Arabidopsis thaliana: one gene and its partners. The protein of the gene in region 3 interacts with the protein of the main gene of each other region in a pairwise test. Each region holds a gene or a part of one and is shown on either strand. Other genes may lie near its edges.

Region 1 (5,390 bases), about 29 Mb from region 3:
CAGGAGCAAAGATAGAGACTTGTTCTCTCTCTCTTTTTTCAACTAAAGACAGAGACCTCGCACTTAGATTTAATGGTTGAAACTTGTAACTAAAACTACTTGTGAGTATATAAATTAGTATCTAGTTTATGCTTTACACATCTAATTAGACGAAAAAATATATTTTGTCTTCTGATAACCGTGGTAATTTTCATGCTAATTTTGTTTTAAACGTTCTATCTAGAGAAAAAAAAAAAATCGTTCTATCTAGACGGTAGAATTAGTTCTCGGTGATTTAAAACATAAACTAATCTTTAGACATGAATTAGTCGTTTTAGACAGACTAGATTATCGACTCTGTTTTTTTATATGGAGTAGGGTACACCACGACCACGAGGCCCATTGTGAATAAATTATTCCATGGGCTTTAAATATTTGCTACGTGGACCCATCTTACTTGAAGTTGATTTTGGATCTACCATACCAGTGTGTTTTCTTTCTTGAAAACGATTTAACAAGTACACACAGCCTGGACAGATCTATAAATATATACATTTATCTTTTGTCACAAAATCAAACAAATATTATTTTATTTCCCAACAGGCAACAGGTTATCCACAATAAAAAATGATCAATTTACATAAACCAGATCACAAGATATAAAACCATACGGTTTATCTCTTAGACAAAAAAAAAAAAAGTAAGAGAAAGAATGGAACATTGTAAGAGAACCCCCAAAAAAGAAACTAAACCCAAAAACAGAATAGCAAATAAGTTTTGGGTCAGAATATAAGCAAAGATGTGTTATATATCAATCACAAAGAATAATTTACAAATCAGAGAGGTCAAAACAAAGCTGACGAAGCTTCACGAGACTAATGATCTTGGAACCCTCATGCCAAATCCATGCTTCACCTTGTCAACCCTGATTCAATTTTCAACCATAAAATTTCAGAATCAACTAAATGATTGATGTAAAAATTTGATTACATGGAATTGTGTTGTGCTTACGTTGGAGCTAATCTGCCAAGACTCTTAAGTTCTTCACCAGAGTCTCCATCAAGAACTCTTCCTGCTATATCAATGATGTAAGAACGGTTCTTGCCTCGAGGAAGACCTCTACTTGATAGTAACTCTAGGTCTCTCTCGTGAAGCTCTCTTCCGTTTACAAACACACTCGTGTTTCCTGCACCGCAGTTATCCGGCATTGGTCGACTAAACTCCTCTATAAATGGCTGCATCAACCAACAATTGTTTCCCATTTCCTCATCAAGTACCAATCAATACAAAGAATTATGAAACAGTGTACTGGAATTCAAAGCAATATAGAAGAGATGTGAAAGTTCTTACTGGTATTATACCGAGACAAGGGTTTCCCATCACTCCCCAGAATCCAGCACGGTAATCATACCTGGTCAGAATCATAACATAAAGATGGTTTCTTGAACGACTGATCAATTCTTTTGACGTAGATTTATCAAAACGTAACCCCAAACATACCAGTATTTGCCAGCTTGAACTGGCCCAGCTTGTTTCTCAGCGCTAATAACCAGATCTTCTGGTATCAGATACCCATTCACCCAAACCTCTAGCTGCTCGTTGTTTTGGTCGTTAGAACTGATATTATTTGTGACCTCTGCGAAACTGTGCTCACTACTCTGCTTTCGGTTTCTTGGTCGTCTCCCTTCTTTGCTGGCTTTTGAGATCCTTGAATCTTCAGACTCCTCGGTGTTAGTATAGTACTCATTATAAGAAACATCTGTCTCAGTAGCTACTGATTCTGATTTCAGGGAGTCTTGTTTCGTGTATGATTCTTGCTTATAGTACCCTAACTGCGCCATTCCGTAAGTGATTGCAGCTCGGTTTACATTAGAATACTCAAAGAGCTCAAGAAGATTGGACTTTTCCGGAGGAGGAGGAGGAGGAACCTTCGCGCCTTGGGCTCTGCTGCGAACAGACTTGACGACCTGTTTCCGCGGCTCACTAGAAATGCTTGACCTGTCTTCATCGTTTGAGTGATCACTAGGCGATACAGCATGGACAATTTTCGTTTCCTGGTGTATTCTTGGTTCTTCATCATTGAGTGGATAATCATCTACCACAGGGATTGGTGAGCTTCTATCTTCAACCTCTACAGAAACCCGGTTCGTAGTTTCCCCCAGGGCAGAAGATGAGAAAACAAGCTTCTTATCAACAACTCTGAACGTGATAACCTCAGAACAAGCACCACATTGCATCTTTTGTTGCCTTTCCTGACCAAGAAGCTTCTTCTTAGGCACATATAGCAGCTCAAAGCAACTGTGACAAGCAATAAAAGGCGCACCGCCTGCTAGAGGATGGCAACGACGTGAATCAGTATCAGACACAGCTTGTTGAACATACCCACGAGCAAAAGCACCACCCATTTCAGAATCAATTTCACTAGGCCACCTCGTGTGAACACCACCATGTGGACTAAAGGGTCCAACTTTCTCACCGTGGTGCAAAGCCGGGCTAAATGGGACATCACCATACCTACTTGGCGTACCCGGAAAGAATCTAGGGTCCTGTAACTGTGACTCAAGTATATCAGAGCCAATGTCTACATACTGTCCTTGAGGATAGGGTGGACGAGGCGGCATCTGATTAGGGTAATGACTTGGTCCTTGATAAAAGTTTTGAGGTATCCTATGCACTGGGAATCCATAAGGGTCTCTATAAGCTGGAACATGAGGTTGGTTACTCGCGGTAGGATACATTCCATAAGGAAATGGCTCAGGGTATGGATTGTAATAAGAAGGAGGAGGTCCATGATGGGCATGGAAACCCATTGGTGGCTGATCAACAACAGTAGCATTATTACCTCCACCACGGAGAAGATGATCTTTAATAGAATCAAGCTTTCTCAAAAGCTCGGCTTGTTGTTTATCAGTGTACTGAATTGGGTTGTTTCTGGTGGTTGTGTTCTTAGAAGAAGAAGAATCTGAATCAGTCTCTTCCTCCTTTCTCGAGCTCTTGACGAATCTCTGAGAACCAGGTCGTGAATTCGAATCGTCTAGGCGATTTCTCATCGGGCTAGTAGCGGATTCATTGAGATCCTCCTTAAAGCCTCTGTCTTCATCACTTCTTGAGGAACCAGTATCTGCTCCATAAACGTCACCGCTTGTCCTCATCGGAAAAAAAAAACAAAAATTCTCCGACGAAGACCAGCTTCTAGGGTTTTGCTTGTTTAAACTGCAACAGAAATAATAATCCTTGAATTCAAACAAAATCCGAAATTATCAACAAATTCTCTAATCGAATCTTCTCCAATCCGCGAATAGTAACATGGTAGAGCAAATCTTAAAATTTTCCTAGAGACTAGTTCAAGAGTTTCCATGATTGCACAGCATCCAAAACGGGAAAGACAAGACAGAGAGATATAGGAAAATCAAACGCACCTCGAAGAAGAGTGATTCCGGCGTCAGTATTATGAATATTTTTTGGGCAATTTCTTCGTCTCCGGTGAGAATCAAGCTTTTAGTCTCTTTGACGCAGCCATTTTTTAATATTAAAGGAGTTTTGTGAAAATTTCAGAGGAATTTATTTAAATAATCAAAAGACTTCGAACAATAGCTCTACTTTTCTTGCTTCGTTTTCCCGGGAATCTACCAACTAGGAACAATTAGATCGACAATGGAGTTTAAGAATTTTGACATATCTAGAAACTATGAGTCTTACCAGGTCAAGTTGACCAAGAGATAACGTGACGACCAAAAATAATGCAACAAAATAAAAATAGTAGTAACTAATGAATTGGTTGGATCGATTCGAATTTAACTGCATTTGAAAGGTGAAAGTTAAAGTACCAAATTAGGTCTTTGATATATTTGTGTCTCGCTGCTCCAAAACCAACAATACCTTGAACTACACACACTATTCATCATGGCCATGGTGGGTTTAGTTTATAACGATGAATGTGTACGTATTTTATACATGTATTGTATAATATTATCTTGTCAAAATAGATGGTGTGCCATGTTCCCAGACGTGCTCATAACTTGAATTCTTTTCATCATCATCATCTTTAAAAAGTTTAGAGATGTATTTTAGTTGTTGGAATTGTATTTTATATTAGGGTGACAATGACAAATGTTATAGCTGTAAAGTATTTTTTGTACAAATCAGCTGCTTAGTTTGTTTACTCCACTTGCTTATAATGTTATATTTGACAAATCTGTTGGTATTAAAATCATAATAACGTACTTATCACCAAAAAAAAAAAAGAAATCATAGCTTCATTCATCTAAAACTAGAGTGGGGACTTTTTGGTCATATCACAATCAATGACATAATAAAAGCGTCGGAGGATGGATGTGACGGAGTCGGCGGTGGCGGAGATATTGAAATTGACGAGAGACAGAGCCAAAGCTCCGAACCACGCCATGTCTCTAGTCCCCGGCGGAATCGCTGTTCCCCTTTTTTGTTAAGGTAATTTTCAGGCAGATTAGTCAAGGTTCCTTATTTTTGATGTTTTTATCCACATTCGAAGCCCAAAATTTGATTAGTGTAATTTGATGGTGTTTGATAGATTGTAGAAATAGTGGAGCAGGCCTAGTTTACTTCACTTCAGCGTTGAGCCTCTACAGTCTAGGCACATAATTTTGCCTCATATGATTTGTTTCCTTTAAGATAATATTGTAGCTAGTAGCTACTGAATCAATCAGTCACTAGCCTGAACAATATACGAGCCTAGTAGTATCTGTAGGAAACTTTGAATAAAGAAGAATTTTATCGTTTTCGATAGATATGTAGTGGAGTGTGTGTCACCACATACGAGTTAGTATGTCTTTTGACTTGTACAGCATTTTGAACTTGCTATTATGAACCTATTCTTTTTCCCTGCAGACTAGGAAAGCTCAGAGTCAGAGGCATGTCCAGAGTTTGATCGTCGTATCCTTGGGCTTATCAATATCAGCTGACTCTCAGAGTTTGCTCTCATGCTTTGCCCACCACAAGGGCTTAGTGGCGGATGCCTTGATCGTCCTCTCGGAGTTGTCCCTGAACAGAATCCAAAGGCTAGTGACACAAAACAAAAAAATTAGTACAAGTAACCAAGTTCATATTTGTTAGGGAGCCTATATATATATATATATATTGGCTGATGATAATCTCACCTGGTTTTTGAATTGGTTTCAGGCTAGAAGCTCTTTTCAGAAGATTTGAAACCTGCTTCTTGCTCATACCAACATCATTTGAGGAGCATGACAATCTTCTTTCCTTGGCATATGACAACTGCTCATCTGATCCTGCCCCACCCTCATCCTCGCTACACGAAGCCCATTCACTTCCTGATTCCGATGGTTCCCGGAGATTATCCTTTTCACACGTTTTTGCCCGTTCCACAACCCTATATGCAAACATTTGAAAAGGAACCTGTGAAACTTTGGTTA
Region 2 (4,612 bases), on a different chromosome or scaffold from region 3:
TTCTACTTAGACATGAATTGACGAAAAAGCCTGTCCACAATACACAGGTAAGGCCACGACTGAGAGACAAACTATATACTTACATTCACACACCAATAACTATAACACTCTCTGTTCAATGAGGCGAAGCAGCTCATAGAAAAAACCAAGCTTTATTCACATAATCAAGCTTTATTCATGTCGCTGATGATTAGAGCTTTACCTGTGGTCTCATGTCTCTTCATACCCTCCATTGACCCAGAGAACAGAGCTCTTGTCACACTCCCCATTGAAGAACTACAGCCAAGTCTTCCCCCGTTGGAGCAACACAGAGTCGAGGTTGGTGAAGACCTAAGCTCATCCTCTTCGTAGTTAGCGTACAGAAGTGGCGATTTTTTGTCGTGACTCATACGTTTTTTCAAAGAATGTGGTGGCGAGGAGGAAAAGGAAGATGAAGATGACGTAGAAGACCAAGAAAACGATGAGCTTGCCGTCTTCTTGCTACCGTGATTGCTCCTCCTGAGATCACTGAACATGGAGAAGGACAGAAACTTACTTAGTTTTGATCTCACCTTGCTTTGCGTCCTTGGTGTCGACAAAATCCCGGAGGAGTAGTATGAGGGCGGCGGTGTGAGAGGCAGAGGAAGAGAGGAATCGGAGCAGAGGTGGTTTTTGGGTGTTCCTGGCCTTGACTCCCATATGAATGGTATGGAGGCTCCGCCATAGTAGGAGGATCTCTCTTCATCGATTGCAAAGTCATCTTCTAGTCTTTCTGACATCTGTTTTTTATAAACTCTCGGTTTATGTTTGAGTCGGCTTTTGATGAGAATTGATGTACGAAAATTGAAACAACAAGTGCTAGTTTCGAAGCTTCTTTAGAGGTGACAAAGAGTAATATGTATTGCGAGTAAAACAAGTTTGCCGATGAAACAAAAGAATCTTCTTTGCACGGTTGTATATAATCGTGGATATTTATTCTGCTTTTTTATTTTCTTTAGGAAAAATTCATATGGATGAGCATATTACAAGTATATGGAAGATCATACATAGGGGAAAAAATTGGTTAGATAATAAATGAAAGGTGGCTATCTTACTGTATGCATTACTTAATGCGTTTTCATTAATAATAAGAGAGTCGTGAGGTGAGGATCACATTATTGGTAAACAGTTACTGTAGTAAGCATTGCTTAGAGTATTTAATATGTTACCTTTTGTGGGATTCCACTCTATAAACCTTTTTATTTGGTGTTCTTATAATTAAGGAAATAATTATTGACCAACAAATCCACACGTTTTAATATATATCAAGACTACTAACCTTGTTTGTCGTAATTTGAAACTACTGACCAAAAGTTTGGGGCATGTTCATCCAAAAGATATAATGGTTTACATTTAATGAAATGATAATTTAGATAGGATATAATAGGGAACTACTCAGAGTGTCAGACCAAACCATCTGAATACGTACCAATGTCAAGTGCTAACTGGTAACTCCCAACAATAGTAATTAGAAAAGATATATATATTTGTCGGTTCTAATTAGTTGGAAGAAACGTATGCGGAGAAATAAATAGAAACGTGAGAGATCGAAAGACGACGGTGATGAATTTGGACGGTTGAGTGAGGGAGGTCGTATAATTTAATGGTCGTTTCCAATCGTATTCGTACGTGGTCCGTTTTCTCCTACTCGGATTTTGCTTTAATGTGATGGCCACACAAATTGGTTAGAAAACTATAAGGGAAAGCTCCACCTATTTATTTCACTCATACATTTACTATACACTAATATCGCACGGGAAAATTATAACAATTTTCGGATATTCGTATTTGAACAGAAACAAACAACACATACGTAAGAATTTCCTTCACAAAAAAGCCCAATATAGACGAACTTGAACTTCGTACCAACGGCCCAATATCGCTTCCTTAATCAACGGCCCAAAATTTTCATTTATTAATTAATCAGATAACCAATCAATAGAAGCCACGTCGCCACAGCCATTAGTAGTAGCATCATCAAAGCCTGCATTCTTGTTCTTCGAGTCTCTCTCGTGAGTGACTTTCATTACCGAGAAAAACACAATCATAGAGAAGCTCTCAATCTTGTTTGCTTCTGATCAGTAACTATGATTACTGTAAATAGATCACTCTTTCATTATCTTTCCCTTTCACTTGTACAAACCAATTCGTTCTCGAGCTAACGGAAATGGCGGAGAGGCAACAGAGCCCTGCGGCGGAGACGATTCCCGGTACACCCGTAATCCGGGAAGTGAGAACCGGAACCGGGTCCGAGAATTTCAACCCGGAGAATACAAGGAGAGGATGCTTGAGAGCTGAAATCGACATTTCTCCACAGTTATATGGTGGTCGTGGGTTCTGGGTTCCCTTCAATCTTGAAGACAATTACGTGAGTTCTCTTCTAGTTTCCGATTTACAAAGTCTGTTCATTTAAAGTTTGAGCATTAATGTCACTGAAAGTTTGAAATGTATGTTCTCTAACTGTTAAGTATGCTAACAAACTGAATAACTGATAGCTGATTCGATTTGGTTACTGAGTAGATATTTTGTAATAAGTGATAGCTAATTTGATGTTTGCATTTGCGGCAATTGATTCTGGAACTAGCAAGATGTTATGTAAGATTTTTTTTTGGTATTATATAGCATGATTTGTTTTATGTTTTTTTGGTTTGTCATTCTTCAGGACTGTGTGGGAGAATTTGACATAAAGAGAATGGAAGAACAGACAGTGGAGCTTGAGAAGGATCTGATTATGAAAGAGTTAGAGACTCTGGATCTTCTTGAAGCTCTTGGATCAACCAAAAGGATTTTTGAAGATTTGAAGTGGCAGCTTCAGCAGCAAGCACTGAGATGCAAGGAGACCCCTCAACATTTGCGTTCACACTCCAAAGAGATGGTCGATGAGCACTGCCATCGTAATCCCCTGAAGTCTCCGGATCTGATGACCATGGAAATGAAGCAAGCTGGTATGAATCTTTGTAAAACCATGGATGATCTTGCGTTGATCCACTCTTATGCTGAATCTCTGAATATGAAAACGAAGGAAGAGAAAGATGTCCTTGGAGTAGCGTCTCTAGCGGAGGAACTTAACAGTTTGAAGTTTAAACCAGCAGGTCCTGATCAAGTAGAGAGATTCAATACCGAGAATTTACCAGTGAATCCACAATGTGAACAGATTAAGATGGTAGTTGAAACCTATGATACAGCTTTCCATAAACAGAGCAAAACCTGCCCGAGAACTGCAGATATGAGATTGGTTGCTGCAAGAAAAATGGAAGAGGCAGCAAGAGCAGCGGAAGCACTTGCGCTTGCTGAAATGACCATATTATCCAGCAGAAGAAACCAAGACGCTCTCTGCTTCCCTAAGACACCATGTTTTCCATTAACACTTAAAGCACAGATGAACAAAGAATTATCCACCAATGTCTCAAGAATAGAGATCTTGAGGAAGCTGGAGGAAGCTAACGAAGAAGTTAAACAAAGTAAACAAGCCTTGGAAGTTGCGTTAAACCGGGTAGAAATCGCTAGTGTGAAGCAACTTGAAGCAGAAGAGGCATTTCGGCAGTGGAACATAGAGTCATGGAAAGACCAGAAAGCTGTTGGAGCAAAACGCTCGATGAAAAGAGAAAGCTTTCCTCAGCGCTCTTTCTTGAGCCATATCAATCAGCACGAGCCACTGATCGATCTCCCTGAGCCAATGCTGAAACGTAACGTCTCAATGGGTAATGCTCTTAACCGAAAAGATGAGAAACAGTTGGTCACGCCGAGGAGAAAGTTTAGGTTCATACAAACACATCAAGCTTCCATTAGAAAAACAGAGTAAGCTAAAAAAATACCCAACCTTTGAAAACATGTTTTGCACATTTCGATTCCTGTTTTTTTTTATTCTTGGTTTGATCATTGATGGGTGTTGTTGCTTCCATCAAAAGCAAAACACAGATGATTAGAGTGAGATGTGTTGTTTTGACTCAAATGTGACAAAAAGAAAAACATTATAGTAAAAACTAAAGCTTCTAGTAATCATAATTAATTATGGGAGTTAGTGAAGGGCATTGATCATATGATTTAGGTGGTGGGCACTTTCTTAACTAATGCATTTTAAGTGTTAGATTAGCTAATTAGGTGATCCATAATCAATACCGTAGGTCCTCAACTGTTTATTTTTTAATAACGTTGGTCTTTATAATGTTTCTAGATTCTCAAAATAGAAACTGAAACATTCAGGTTGAACTACGGAGATAAAAACACATTTTACGATTTGACCAGTTTGTACTTTATACTGTATAAGTTTGGAGTGGTCAGATACAGAATGATGACGTGGTCAAGGCTTTTAAGACAATCTAGATATCTCCAATAACTTAATGCCACGTGTTTTAGTCTTCACAACAAAGATTTCGTCTGGAATCCTCGTATTGGCTTAGAGCGTGGGACCAAACGAAACCAAAAGAAGGAAAAGGAACTAAATAAATAAATAATTAAAAAATAAAGTTGAAAAGTAAGAGTGGCGTGGGTTAGCAAAATCATTGTCTCAGGCTAAAATGTGCCACTCCCAACACGTGGGCTACTCTTTTCCAAGTGTCAACTATCTGACGGTACGTTTGCACTTTTTTAAATT
Region 3 (3,922 bases):
AAAATCCCGGCAACATGTCCTTCGAATCGTCTATCTCTCTCTCTGTCTCTGTTTCTACGGTGGATGATAGATCTTATCATCGCAGGCAAACAAATTAAGACGTGAGGCTTGTGTGTGTGATCTCTCTCGTCTTCTTCGTTGCTTTTTAAGTGAACAGAGAGAGCCGTTGTATATATGAGTCGTTCTTAGGCCAGACCAACGAATCACACCAAAGATTAGGGTGAATCCAACAAGCAGATGCAACAACACATGAATAATGAAATCTCAAAAAGGAAGAAGAAGAGAACAGAGAGGCAAACGAAGCAGACAGAAATCGAAGAAGAGAATTGAAAAAAATGCAGAGCAATTGTGTTTTTAACTTGAGAGGAGACGCGAGACGCAGGTATATAAATTTATTTGTTTGACATTCAAGTTTCCTTTTTTCCTTTTCACTTAGGGTTTGTTATAGTCCAGAGCAAACACAAACCTTAGGTTCGGTGATAATCTAGCCGTTATACACGGTTCGGGTCAAATACTTTCCATTTATTAGCTGATACGCTCCTACTAATTTTTGGTTTAGATACTGATTGTATTTTGATTGTATTACACGTTGACTTTTATTGTTTTAAAGAACAAGGCTAAGAAGAACAGATAATAAGAAAGTGGGTTCTATCCTTAAAAACCAACAAGAACCCTATCTTAAAAACCTAAGGAGTGTGGTTTCATTTATTTCTGGATTGAATCAGTTGAATAATGAAAACAATAATAGACATAAGCAGAGTGGATCCTGCAAAACATGGTAAACGAAACTTTTTTCTTCTCTTCTTTCTTGGTTTATCTTCGATTTCTTCTTCTTTTTTCCCCTCATGATCTCTTGTTCCTTCCTCAACAACCTCTTCTTCCTCTTCTCTCTGTGGCTCTTCTGCTTCTTCGTTTTCTTCCTCAGGTTTTGTCTCTTCTTTGATTTCTTCTTCTGGTTCTGTTTTCTCCTCTGTTTTCTCTTCTACTATCGGCTCTTTCATCTCCTCTTCTTCGTCCTCTTCCTCGATCTTCAGACCGGTAATTCCCTTAACTTTCTTAGGCATTGTAACAGTTAAAGTCCCATCTTCTTCATTAAACCTCGCTTTGATCTTGTCAAGAATTACAATATCTGGAATCCGAAACACTTTTTTGAATTCCTTTATTTCTGTTTCCTTTTTCCATTCCACCCACTTTACCAAAACCATCTCTTCAACCTGTTTTCTTCCGCTGATCTTAATCAGATTCCCTTCTTTGTTTATCTCGATATCGATACCATCCTTCTTAAATCCTGCATTTGGTTTTCAATCTCAATCTCTATGCTAGGTAAGAAAAAAAGGTGAATAAATATGAGAGGGAATAGAACCTTTGAGATGAAGAATGAGGAAGAAAACAGAGTTGGTTTCTCGAGAAAGTGAACGATGACCAAAAGAATCTCTGGCAACCCGAAAATCTGTAGAGGAAGAAACATCGTCTTTAGTCCGAGTGATCTTCAGACCTAATTCAAGCTCCATCTTTTTTAGTTGTGAGCTTCTTTTGATACATCTGTTTTTAGTTTTTGCTAAAGTCTCTCTCTAGTCCACACTTTTCTAGTTTTGTTTAAATTAGGCTATTTCATATCGTTTCTTTGAAGAGGCCCACAAGAACATATTCGTAACTTCCATCTTCAGGAAACTCAAAAACGGAGTCGTGAGTTTTGTCTTTTGTTACCCTCAACGGTTTTAACTGTCCCAGTTGCGTTGGCGGGAAGTAACAGCTATCTTTATAGTACTAGTTGATAATGATAACCCTTTGCGATTGCATTTACAATGAGATCTGTCATGTCATATGATTGAGCCTGAAGATTGTGAGCAAAAAGTTAAATTGAAGAGTGATCGGTGTTTGGGAACGGGCCTATAACATGTGGGCCTAGAACATGTTTGTGGGCCTATAACAAAAAAGATACGGTGTACTTGACCGTAGTGGATCATCATTGTCTTTCTAGTACCTTGTGTCATTTTCTTTCAGAGTTCGTTCTCTCTTTTTGGTCAATTCGAGTTTTTTTTCCACAAGTGTCCAACTTTTTTTGTCATCATCAACCTAACCAACCGCCAACGCCGAATCAAGAGATCGTTTGTTTTTTTCTGATTCTTTCATGGCGTCAATTTCTCTCTCTTCTTCTACGGTTCCGTCGCTGAATTCGAAAGAATCGTCAGGTGTTTCTGCTTTCGCTTCTCGTTCTATCTCGGCCGTCAAATTTCAGTTTCCGGTTCGTCGGGTTCGAACCGGAGACTTAAAGTTTCCATCTTTATCTTCAACGACTCGATGCACTCCTCGACGTGTAATCGCCTTTCTCTGCTTAAACATCTTTTTCCAAAGCTTATATTTTGTTCAATTCTAGCTTACTTAATTTTACCCTATGAATTATTGAATTCAAGCTTCAAACTTTCTTCTGATGGTAGAGCTGATGATAGCTTTCCTATTTTGAAATTTTTCTTATTTTAGTTTCTATAGCTGATTTTCTCTAGAGTTTGGAATTGATTTAAAGTGAGTGCCTTTATCTACTTCTTGATTTAGATTGAACTAAATGACAAACCATTCTTGTTCATACTTCAGATTGAAGCCAAGAAGCAGACATTTGACTCATTTGAGGATCTGCTTGTGAACTCTGATAAACCAGTTCTAGTTGACTATTATGCAACCTGGTGAGTTTGTTTTGGTGTCAAATGATAACATGTGTTAGTTGAGTGGTCATCAACCAGTTCTAGTTGACTATTATTCATCATGAATGAGTATACTTGGTCTATGTTGGGATCCAGTGTAGTCTGTTTGCTTATTATCGAGTTTATTTGTTAAACAGATGATTTGGAATCAGAATGTACTGTTTGTTTGGCAGGTGTGGTCCTTGCCAGTTCATGGTTCCAATACTCAATGAAGTGAGTGAAACCCTGAAAGACAAGATACAGGTGGTGAAGATTGATACCGAAAAATACCCCAGTATTGCTAATAAATACAAGATTGAGGCACTTCCTACTTTCATCCTATTCAAAGATGGGGAACCTTGTGATCGCTTTGTATGATGACTTCAATGCCTTTGAATTTCTTCATTTTCGTTTTAAGGTTCTTAATCTCACTCACAAACGTTTCTTTTTTTGTGATTTCCAGGAGGGTGCTTTGACGGCCAAACAACTCATTCAACGAATTGAGGATTCTCTAAAAGTGAAGCCATAGTTGGATCATGAACTCTTTTTTAATTATTTGTATGTTTTTCAACTGTCCCTGACCTATTCAGGACTTAGTGATAGCGATGTTTTTCGGTTGATTTAACTTGGAGAATTTGAGAAGAAGAAGATTATGTTTGCCAGATTTGTAAAACCTTGTTGTGAGTAATGATGATCTTTTATTCTCAAAAGTAATAACAGAGACGCTATTTTTCAAGCATTCGTCACCAGTTACATAAAGATTAAAATTCTCTTAGCAAAAGAAAACATAGCAGGAGTGTAAAGATGAATACTAAGACTCAAGGGTTAGAAGGAGAAGCAGAAGATCTAACAACGGTAGTCTTGAAATTCACGGAGAGAGGCAGTGTTGAGGAGGCAAGAGCATGGTCTTCACCATTGTTGTCAGAGTCATTGCCATCACAGTAACCTTGGAGCATATCACCTTCTTGAGCAGTAAAACCAAGAACACCAATCATAGTAGGCCAACACTTGCGTCCAATGGTTCTTATAGCACTGCAACACCCAGGGCCAATGTAAGTCTCACCGTTGAGGAAGAACAAGATCAGCTCTCCAGAACAGTGTTGGAGCTGCATCAGTGAGTCCCAGCAGTACCCTGTATCTTCATCAAGCTTGAGCCTGTACACAAGGCTTGTGGTAGGAGAAGACGTCCCCATGGATGGTTTCATGAGAGGGCGAGCTGTCACTGTGGAGGAAGCCACCATGAG

Evidence for each region.
Region 1: the proteins of TY1 (region 3) and AT1G01440 interact in a two-hybrid assay, tested with the Arabidopsis thaliana proteins (one large-scale study listed by BioGRID).
Region 2: the proteins of TY1 (region 3) and AT3G56270 interact in a two-hybrid assay, tested with the Arabidopsis thaliana proteins (one large-scale study listed by BioGRID).

The regions. Positions count from the first base shown.
Region 1 is NC_003070.9:159,089-164,478, forward strand, and holds AT1G01440 (hypothetical protein (DUF3133)), read right to left. Parts: upstream 3,866-5,390; 5' UTR 3,399-3,865; intron 3,193-3,398; 5' UTR 3,132-3,192; coding exon 1,480-3,131; intron 1,391-1,479; coding exon 1,330-1,390; intron 1,215-1,329; coding exon 991-1,214; intron 905-990; coding exon 847-904; 3' UTR 540-846; downstream 1-539. Other genes in the region: AT1G01450 (Protein kinase superfamily protein), read right to left, coding at 5,017-5,390.
Region 2 is NC_003074.8:20,868,035-20,872,646, forward strand, and holds AT3G56270 (WEB family protein (DUF827)), read left to right. Parts: upstream 1-1,965; 5' UTR 1,966-2,185; coding exon 2,186-2,386; intron 2,387-2,680; coding exon 2,681-3,820; 3' UTR 3,821-4,073; downstream 4,074-4,612. Other genes in the region: AT3G56250 (uncharacterized protein), read left to right, coding at 48-122; AT3G56260 (uncharacterized protein), read right to left, coding at 165-758.
Region 3 is NC_003070.9:28,811,158-28,815,079, reverse strand, and holds TY1 (thioredoxin Y1), read left to right. Parts: upstream 1-1,915; 5' UTR 1,916-2,131; coding exon 2,132-2,317; exon of another isoform or gene 2,318-2,592; coding exon 2,593-2,681; intron 2,682-2,872; coding exon 2,873-3,050; intron 3,051-3,141; coding exon 3,142-3,207; 3' UTR 3,208-3,395; downstream 3,396-3,922. Other genes in the region: AT1G76770 (HSP20-like chaperones superfamily protein), read right to left, coding at 702-1,288, 1,364-1,511; EC1.1 (egg cell-secreted-like protein (DUF1278)), read right to left, coding at 3,497-3,922. UniProt on the Arabidopsis thaliana protein: Thiol-disulfide oxidoreductase that poorly activates chloroplastic malate dehydrogenase (NADP-MDH) and fructose-1,6-bisphosphatase. Provides reducing equivalents for peroxiredoxin Q.